Sus scrofa: one gene and its partner. The protein of the gene in region 2 interacts with the protein of the main gene of each other region in a pairwise test. Links are inferred from orthologs where the notes say so. Each region holds a gene or a part of one and is shown on either strand. Other genes may lie near its edges.

The links. The genes of interacting proteins can lie anywhere in the genome.
Region 1: the proteins of TXN2 (region 2) and SCYL3 interact in binary tests that used the Homo sapiens proteins (3 or more experiments, as listed by UniProt). The two-hybrid records come from large-scale screens. The link is inferred for Sus scrofa from reciprocal best matches to the Homo sapiens genes TXN2 and SCYL3.

The regions. Positions count from the first base shown.
Region 1 is NC_010446.5:81,132,556-81,136,834, reverse strand, and holds the start of SCYL3 (protein-associating with the carboxyl-terminal domain of ezrin), read right to left. Parts: upstream 2,801-4,279; 5' UTR 2,319-2,800; intron 2,134-2,318; exon of another isoform or gene 2,005-2,133; intron 1,876-2,004; exon of another isoform or gene 1,679-1,875; intron 1,264-1,678; exon of another isoform or gene 1,126-1,263; intron 1-1,125. UniProt on the Homo sapiens protein: May play a role in regulating cell adhesion/migration complexes in migrating cells.
Region 2 is NC_010447.5:11,263,313-11,267,438, reverse strand, and holds the start of TXN2 (thioredoxin, mitochondrial), read right to left. Parts: upstream 2,801-4,126; 5' UTR 2,764-2,800; coding exon 2,725-2,763; intron 1,997-2,724; coding exon 1,734-1,996; intron 1-1,733.

The sequences.
Region 1 (4,279 bases), on a different chromosome or scaffold from region 2:
TCAAGGCTACAGGAAGCCCAGCTTCAAATCCACTTCCTCACTGCCACCCACAATCCTGGGTAGCCTGAGGTACCCCCTGAGTTAGCCTGAATGGGTCTCTGCTCTGAGAAACCAACTGCCATTTCACAAGCAGTTCTTTTTAACTCCTCCTGTCTGAAAAAACCAGTCAGACTAGAGGAGGGAGAAGAGAAGTGCCACTTTGGAAAGTGTATATATGGATGAAGCTAGTCTAACTTCCTTCTCTCTCCTAGCCACAAAATAGAGCTTTCCAAAATTCACACATAAGGAACTGCTGCAGGAAAATGAAAATTTTCTTGGCAGAGAATCTTCATGCCATTTACTTAGTTTTAATATTAATCTCTAAAGGAGATAAAACGGTCATGAGAGTTCAGTGGCAGGGCTCTAGCTGAATGAATGGCAGTCAGCAAAGGTACAGCAATGGCCATTTACTTAGTCATTTCTAAATAGCAAAACAGTTCCTCGTGGGAACACTATTAACCTTCCATCTAACATTATGAATCCCACTATAATATCATTAACAATTGAGGGTTAAAAAAGCTATAGGAAGAAGTTAAAACTGGTAGTTTTTCTTAGCAGTGCATATTTGAGTCTAAGACCCTAAGAAAATACCACCTAAAAATTAAAAAGGAATGAATCCCTTTCTTGTAAGAACTCAAAAGGATAACATTTCATTGCTTTGAAAGCATGATTAATGCTGACAGAAGTCCATGATACTATCCGTGCAATGCTTACAGAGTAGCTGGGTTAGAGCCCATGTCCAGTGCAAACTTCATTAAGGGGAAATAAGATGTACTGTTGACTGTAATTTGAAGATGTCTTAAAAGCAGTAATTCTTAATTCTTAACTTCACAAAACTGTCTCCTAAGAGGCATCAAAACTGTTGATACAAAGTGTTTTAAAAATTATTTAATTCAGCTAAAACTGGCTTACTGAAATGTAATACTGATAAAGAAAAATATCTGGACTTCCAAAGTGCTCTTTTTTGTTTTGAGGAGTTAAGGGGGAAACATAAAACCTTTTAACTTTGAAATTAAGAAATCACAAAAATGCAGAAAAGGATATTCTAATATTGTGATATTAGCATGGGTATTTTGCAGAATTTACCATCTCCACCCTCTAATAAACGCTGGGTAGCCAGTTTCTGACATGAACATGCATCATGATCTTCTCTTTAAAATGTTGTTCACCTATCTTCCTCCATCCTTTTGCTTCCTTGGCCAGCATATCAAGTTTCTGGGCCACCTGTGGGACTAAAAGCCCTTGTCTAGGTCATGGGGCAACTCATACACTAAACTAAGAAATCAGTGTGCTCCGGGGAACGCTCTCTCCCTCTGTTCATTTCACAGCAATTAATCGAGATGATCTTGATCCTAGCTCCCTGGGCTTGGAAGTTCCAACCATAAGGGCTTGCATTGGGAGTTCAAAGGGCACCGTGTATTGATTCGTATTCTGCCATCTGGTGATAACAGTACTTCAGACCCTTTGCTTTGATCTCTTTCACATATACATTCCTTAAACTCAGTCCAGCAATACATAATGAAGCCTTTATGGACCAAAAGAACTACGTATGATTTCAGCTAAGACATGGGATGTTATGTGGGTATGCATAAAAAAATACTTAAAAATAGTAACAGGGATTCCAAAATTCAGGACTCACATGGTTTCCTATAAATGATTTTCCGGGAAATGTTTCATCTTTATTCTTAACAAAAAGCACTACCCAAAGACAGGAGCCAACTGGCCTCTGGGGGCCTGGCACTGGTCTTGGATCGAAAATGAAGGCAGCATCCAGCGCGGGGAACCCTAGGCTCCCGCGGCTTGGCCACGCAGCCTCCGGCACAGTCCCGGCCCGCCGCGCACACTCGCCCTGCCCGCTGCGAGGAGGGCGGCCAGGGGGCTGGGGCAGGGGAGCGGGGGTCCAACCGCGACTCCTCGGGACCACTGAGGGGCAGGGGCGGCAGTCCTGTGACGCTGGCCCCTCACCTTCCACACCTGCCCGCGAGGCGAAACTCCTTCGCTTCCTTCGAAAGCTCCGGCCGCCAGCGCCGCACCGGGCGGGGGTCGCCCGGGAAGCCCAGGTTAGCAGGGCGCCCCACATTCAGCAAGGAGAGGCTGCGCGGAGCCGGAGTGCAGAGCTCAACCGGCAGCGGCGCCGCGCCGAGCTCGCCCCCGAGCGGGCCCCAAGCGCGGACCCGAGATCGGGGCGCGCGCGCCCACCGCCTCGCACCCGGCCCGGCCCCCTCCCCCGCGGCCCAGGCCCGCACTGACGGAGGACGCCGCGTGGGGCTCCCTGTTACCTGCGGGAGGGCGGCGGGGGAGGCGGGCGAGGGTCTTGGCTCCGGTCCCCTCTTCGCCCCCTGTTGACACCAACCACCCTCACCTCCCCCGTGACGCTCTGGCCACTACACCCACAATCTTCTGAGGTCTGGTCCCTCCGGCACCATAGAGACTGTCCGGAAGCCGGATAGAATGCCAGCCTTCAGCCCTCCAACACCACCACTGAAGCGAAGGAACCCGGAACCGAGATAGAGCGGCCGCGAGGGTGATTCTCAAGCTGGTGCCATCTTGAGTGTGGGCGCCGGTGCCGACTCCGCCGTTCACTCTCTGTGCCCGCGGCCTAGTTAGTCCGTGAAGGTGACTGCTTTCTTGGGCCTTAAGTTTAACGTGCAAATATGGCTTGATTTTAATTTTCAGGCTTTTAACCGCACAGTTTGAACTGCATTTCCGCCCAAATCTAAAATGGCCGTCCGCCGCCGCCTTGGACAAATAGGAAAGAGGCGGGCGGAGAATAGGAGCACTGTGGAAATTGGAGAGGACTTTCGGAAGAGTGACGTAGCTCACCCCAAAGCCCTGATTGGCTGTGCTGTGTGGGCCGAGTAGCGCGGGTCCGCGGCTGAAGCTGGCGGAGGTTGATGTGATTGCCGCTGAAGCCTTTCAGGCAGAAGATGCGAAGTTACAGTTAATTCTGCAAGGAGTCAAGTTAGGACTCTTAATAGTACTTATTATTAATATTAATCGTTGCTACTTAATAGCGTGTTGTGGAATAAAGAATATACGTGATAGTTTTAAAACTACATGATTCCAACCAAGTTTTTTTCTGTTATCTTGCATGTGACTTAGTAGTAGTTATTATCATCGCTGGTTTTTAACGTTTCTACTACCTAACAGTTGACAGCTAAGTCATTTGATCACCTAAAAATTTTTAATTCTTTTTGGTCTATAGCAATATGGACAAGGACCCCACAATTTCTTTACCCGATTAAATAAAAGCAAATATCAGACCAAACTTTGTCCCTTATTCAGAAATGAGTATTTATTAGAAAGTAGACACAAATAGTATTTTATCTGTCCTGTTAAGTTATTGAAGATCGAGCTCTGTCCTACGTCAGCACTGTCCTATGGAAATACAATTTGAGTCACATACGTCATTTTAAATTTTCCAGTAACCACATTAAAAACAGTAAAAACTCTGAGGTGAAGTTAATATTATATTTTAACACCTATCCAGAAGATAGGTGTTTTGTTTAGTCTTTTTCTTTCACCATTCCTCTCATTCCTTTTTTTTTTTTTTTTTTGCCTTTTTTTAACACCTATCCAGAAGATAGGTGTTAAAATATAATAAAAAATTATTAATGGGATATTTTACATTTTTTGTACTGTCTTTAAAATCTGATGTGTATTTTTTACAATTTAAACTAGCCATATTTCAGTGCTCAAAAGTCACTTATAGATAGCAACTATAGTATGGGGGGTGCCATTCTAGAAAGTTGAGAAGCAGAAGTAGAGGGCTGCAGAGGTAGGATTCTGTTATGGTAGGATTCTGTTATCATAGTTATTCTCAGCATCTGGCAACCAGAAATCTTCCAGGACCAATAGAGATGAAACCTTAGATGGCATCTCTAAAGGCTGAGGACTCAAATTTTTAGACCATGTTTATTCAGGAGTGGAGATCATTCTCTGAGACCTCATCTCTAGTATTCATCATAACTAATAAGCTGATACTGGTGCCAGAAAGATGATACTGGAATCCGGGTTCTCGTTCAAGGTGGTGGAAGGATGACCTCCAGGAACACACAGGCAGCAATCAATGTCTTTATTAAAGGAAAGCTGATCGCTCCCAGGGTTGCTGGGAGGGGAGAGAAGAGCCCCCTTTCTCTATTGTCCTATAGGGGTTTTTATCTCTTAAAGGTGGGGAGAGGCACCAAAGTGGGGTTCAGAAAAATGTGGTTTTCCCTCATTGGCCTTATTCAAGTACCTA
Region 2 (4,126 bases):
CCAAATCATTCATTTGGGAAGCTCTCTCCAATGTGCTCAGCAGACCAGGAGGGCAGGACAGCTCTGCCTTCCACCAACCCCTGCCTGATGACTCCTAATTTTTTTTTTTTTTTTTGCTTTTTAGGGCTGCACCTGCAGCATATGGAGGTTCCCAGGCTAGGGGTAAAATCAGAGCTGTAGCTGCCAGCCTACACCACAGCCACAGCAACTCAGGATCTGAGCTGCATCTCTGACCTACACCACAGCTCACAGCAATGGCAGATCCCCAACCCACTGGCAAGGCCATGGATCCAACTCATGGATACTAGTCGGATTCATTTCCAATGCACCACAACGGGAACTCCCTGTGACTCCTAATTTATTCTCAGCTTTGAAGACCCTCTGCATTCAGAGATTTCAATTAATGAACTCACAACACCTAAAAGCCCCGTCTGCAAGACCTTAGCTCCTACCACACGTGAAGAAAGGGAGGCATAAGGTCATCACATGGCCTGCCCAAGGCAGCATGGTGAGTCAGAGAAAGAAGGCGAAGGAAAGCAAAAGAATCTGTCAGTGGTTTGCCCACAAGGTCTCCCAACTTCTAACTCAGGCTCCCATTTCAGGATGCCCCATTCTGTCGTAAGCCACACGGGAAATCCAAGGATGCCCTATTCTGAAAGGTTTGTCCAGTAGTTTTAGAACCAGGCATCCAGCCAGGCTCCAAAGGTCTGGAAAGGAAGAAGGCCAACAACAACAATAACAACCGAAAAAAAAAAAAAAAAGGCCAGACCGACAACCAGAATGCCATAGGCATTTAAATATCCTTTAAACAAACTCACAGGGCACCAGAAAGAAACTCCTGTCCATCCAGTGCACGCTTGGGCACCCAACTGTTAACTTTTATCAGTGGAACTGACAACTTTTTGCTAGCCCTTCTCCGCTTGGGTGGCAAGATGTTAAACACAATTATCTGCAGAGTCAGGAACTGGTAATATACCAAAAGCCAGATGATACTACAGCCTTATTTTTCCTGCTTTGGTCCAAGCTAAAGATGACCTGAGCCACTTGGGCAGTGAGATACAGAACATAACTGTTTCACAGCACTATTTGGAGTTTTTCTTTCTTTTTTTTTCTTCCTTTTTTTTCTTTTTTCTTTTACAGCCACCCCAAGGCATATGGAGTTCCCAGGAGGGATCAGATCCAGATCTGAGCTGCAATTGGGACCTACATCGCAACTGTGGCAACGATGGATCCTTGAACCCAATGCGCTGGGCTAGGGATCAAATCTGTGGCCTGGAGCTGCAGAGACAACTGCTGCCAATGCCGTTGTACCACCATGGGAATACCCACGGAGTGTTCTGAAGACTGAAGATTGTTTACTAGTCTGCCTCTTCCTTTCTCTTTTGGGCCTCACCTGCAGCATATGGACGTTCCCAGGCTAGGGGTCAAATAGGAGCTACAGCTGCCGGCCTACACCACAGCCACATCAACACCAGACCATTAACCCATTGAGCGAGGCCAGGGATCGAACCCACATCCTCACGAATACTAGTTGGGTTCTCAGCCTGCTGAGCCACAACGGGAACTCCTACTAGTCGGTTTCCTACCAAACTACACTAATCTTTGAGATAAGGGATTCGGTCTCACCGATCTCTATGTGAGAAGCATCAAACATAGTACTGAGACATAGCAGGTGCTCAATAAATACCAGAACAAGTGACACCCAGTCTTCTACTGACCCCCCCAGGACTCACTGTGCATGGAAATCCACAACCACTGGCGTCTCACTGTTGACAACTCGGTCTTGAAAGTCAGGTCCATCCTGGATGTTAAAGGTTGTTGTACAGACCTGGGTAGTGTATAATGACCGGGCTTGGCTGGGTGTTCCTGTCAGGTTACTAAGGCTGAGCTGTGGGGTCTGCAGGGCTCTGGAAGCGAGGGGTGCCCACCGACTATGAGAGGGCTTCCTGGAGACTACAGAGGCCAGGAACCTCCTCAGGAGAAGACGCTGAGCCATCTGTGAAGGGAAGAGGTAGGAAGAGTAGGGGCAAAGAACAGGAAGTCAACACACCAGAAATCAGAAAGGTATGTGGGAGTACCAGGGGGCTCAAGATGCAGGGCCAGAAACAAAATGTTGGGAAATAATACATAAGACTTCTGGAGGAAAAGTGAGTAAAGAATGAGAATCAAGGGGAAAAAGGAATCGAAAACCAGGATGGGAAAACTAGGTCGACAACCCAAAAAGCAGGATATTGGTGAAATTACAACAGACGGAAGGGGGGAAGGAATCAATATTTATGGAGCACCTGCTAAGAGATAGGTATCTTACAGGCATTAGAGTCCTCCCAGATCAACGATGAAGAAGTTTCTACTGTACTACTGCTCATATTATAGATAAGGACTTAGAAGCTCAAGCAAATTGTGACATATCCAAAGCAACCCAATTATTAAAGGAGAGTCGACACTAGAGCCCACGACAGTCTGAAAAGTCCTTACTCTATCGATTACTCTTTTAAAAGGAGTTTTAATGGGAAATTAAAGACAAAGGAGAGTTGTCAAAGGTTCAGGAAAGAAGACAAGCAACAATTCAAATAGGAACGAAGTGACACGGGAGCAGGTGGGGGGGGAATTAATAAAGAAGGGACGTGTGTGTGGAAGGAACTGGGAACCCCGGCTCCCCGAATGGCAAGTTCCTCCCACCCAGGGTTTCTGCCCGCTCGGCCATCGGCCTGCATGGGAACGCGCCTGCAGAGGCGCCTCAGCCGCGATACCACTTCGAACCATCCCCACAGGGCCCCTACCTCCCAGCAACGAGAGCGAAGCGACGCACAGCACGGCCCGCCCCACCGGTCAAGGGCACTTCTGTCGTCACTTCCTGAGGGGCGGGCCTTAGCGTCACTTCCGGGAAAGGCAACCTGAGCAAGTCCTCAACTAGAGGGCAGGCACGGGCGGAGCCTCCGTTAGGGACCGGAAGAGAAGCGTTCTTGAAAAGAGACACCGGAAGATGGGCGGGCTCTTAGGGGAGGAACCGGAAGAGGGGCGGATCATTGGGGAGGGACAGGAAGAGGCCGGAGGGCTCCGGAGGAGGGTCCGGAAGAGGAGGGGAAGGAGGCGGGAGTGCCAGGGAGGGGGGGGGGCGGAGAGAAGGGCGGTGGGGAGGCGTGGTCCTCGAGTTTGCAAACACTTGCTGACCAGCATGTCCACCCTTTTGTCTCATTGTCCTAATGTCGCTTCGAAGCAAAAGACTTCAGTTGGGAGTCCAGAGAACGCTGACTCGTATTTGTCATATGTGACTGTATAACTTCGTGGTTTCGAGCAAGTCTTCCTGCCCTTGGGGACTTCAGTTTCCCAAAATGTGACATGAAAAGCTCAGCTTGTCTTCCACCCTTGTCTCTTTGGGATTGCTGAGAAACTGGGCCCAGACAAGATGCCAACTGGTAGTGATACTTGGAGGGCCTGCCTCTGAGGCCCCAGGCAAAGTGTGATGATCCCTGAATCTACCTGGGCCTGGGCCTTCCTTTCTCACCCATTGTCGCTGTCATGGACAACAGGAGTCTAGGCATTTGTGTGTCTCAGGCTGGTCTCACAGCCACCCCTTGTCTCCCTTGCACCCTTTACCTATGTTAGAGCAGGAAAGGGCTGTGGGGTTTCAGAGCAGAAATAGAGGCAGAGAGTCCAGAGCGTTGAGGCTTCAAGTAGGTTTACTGAACAGAAGATGGCCAGAAGCACTGAGAGAAAGCACAGGCTCCCTGGTATTAGCGGGGGAATAGGTTTTATAGAGGCTTGTGGCTAAAGTAACCAGTGTCAGGGCTGGCATCAGGCTACATGGGAGGGGTAGGAGGAGAGGTGAGGGGTTGTAACAATGTTCCATGATATGGTGGGAACTGAAGATTAGCAAAGACAAAATGCAGTTAGGGCAGTCATCATTCCAGAACAGGCTGCTCTTGGTTGAACAAGATAAGGGAGTCGGCAGTTTGAGGGATTAAATCTGGCTCTAAGACCTTACAACCACTCATAACTTCTTATGGTTCTATGAATAAATCAATGCTTCTCCCTCCTCCCTGCCTTTGCTTAACTTGAAAGCCTTTTTTCTATGTCCACTCGGTAGAACACCTACTCATACTTCTTGAGCAGCATTAATTGCCTT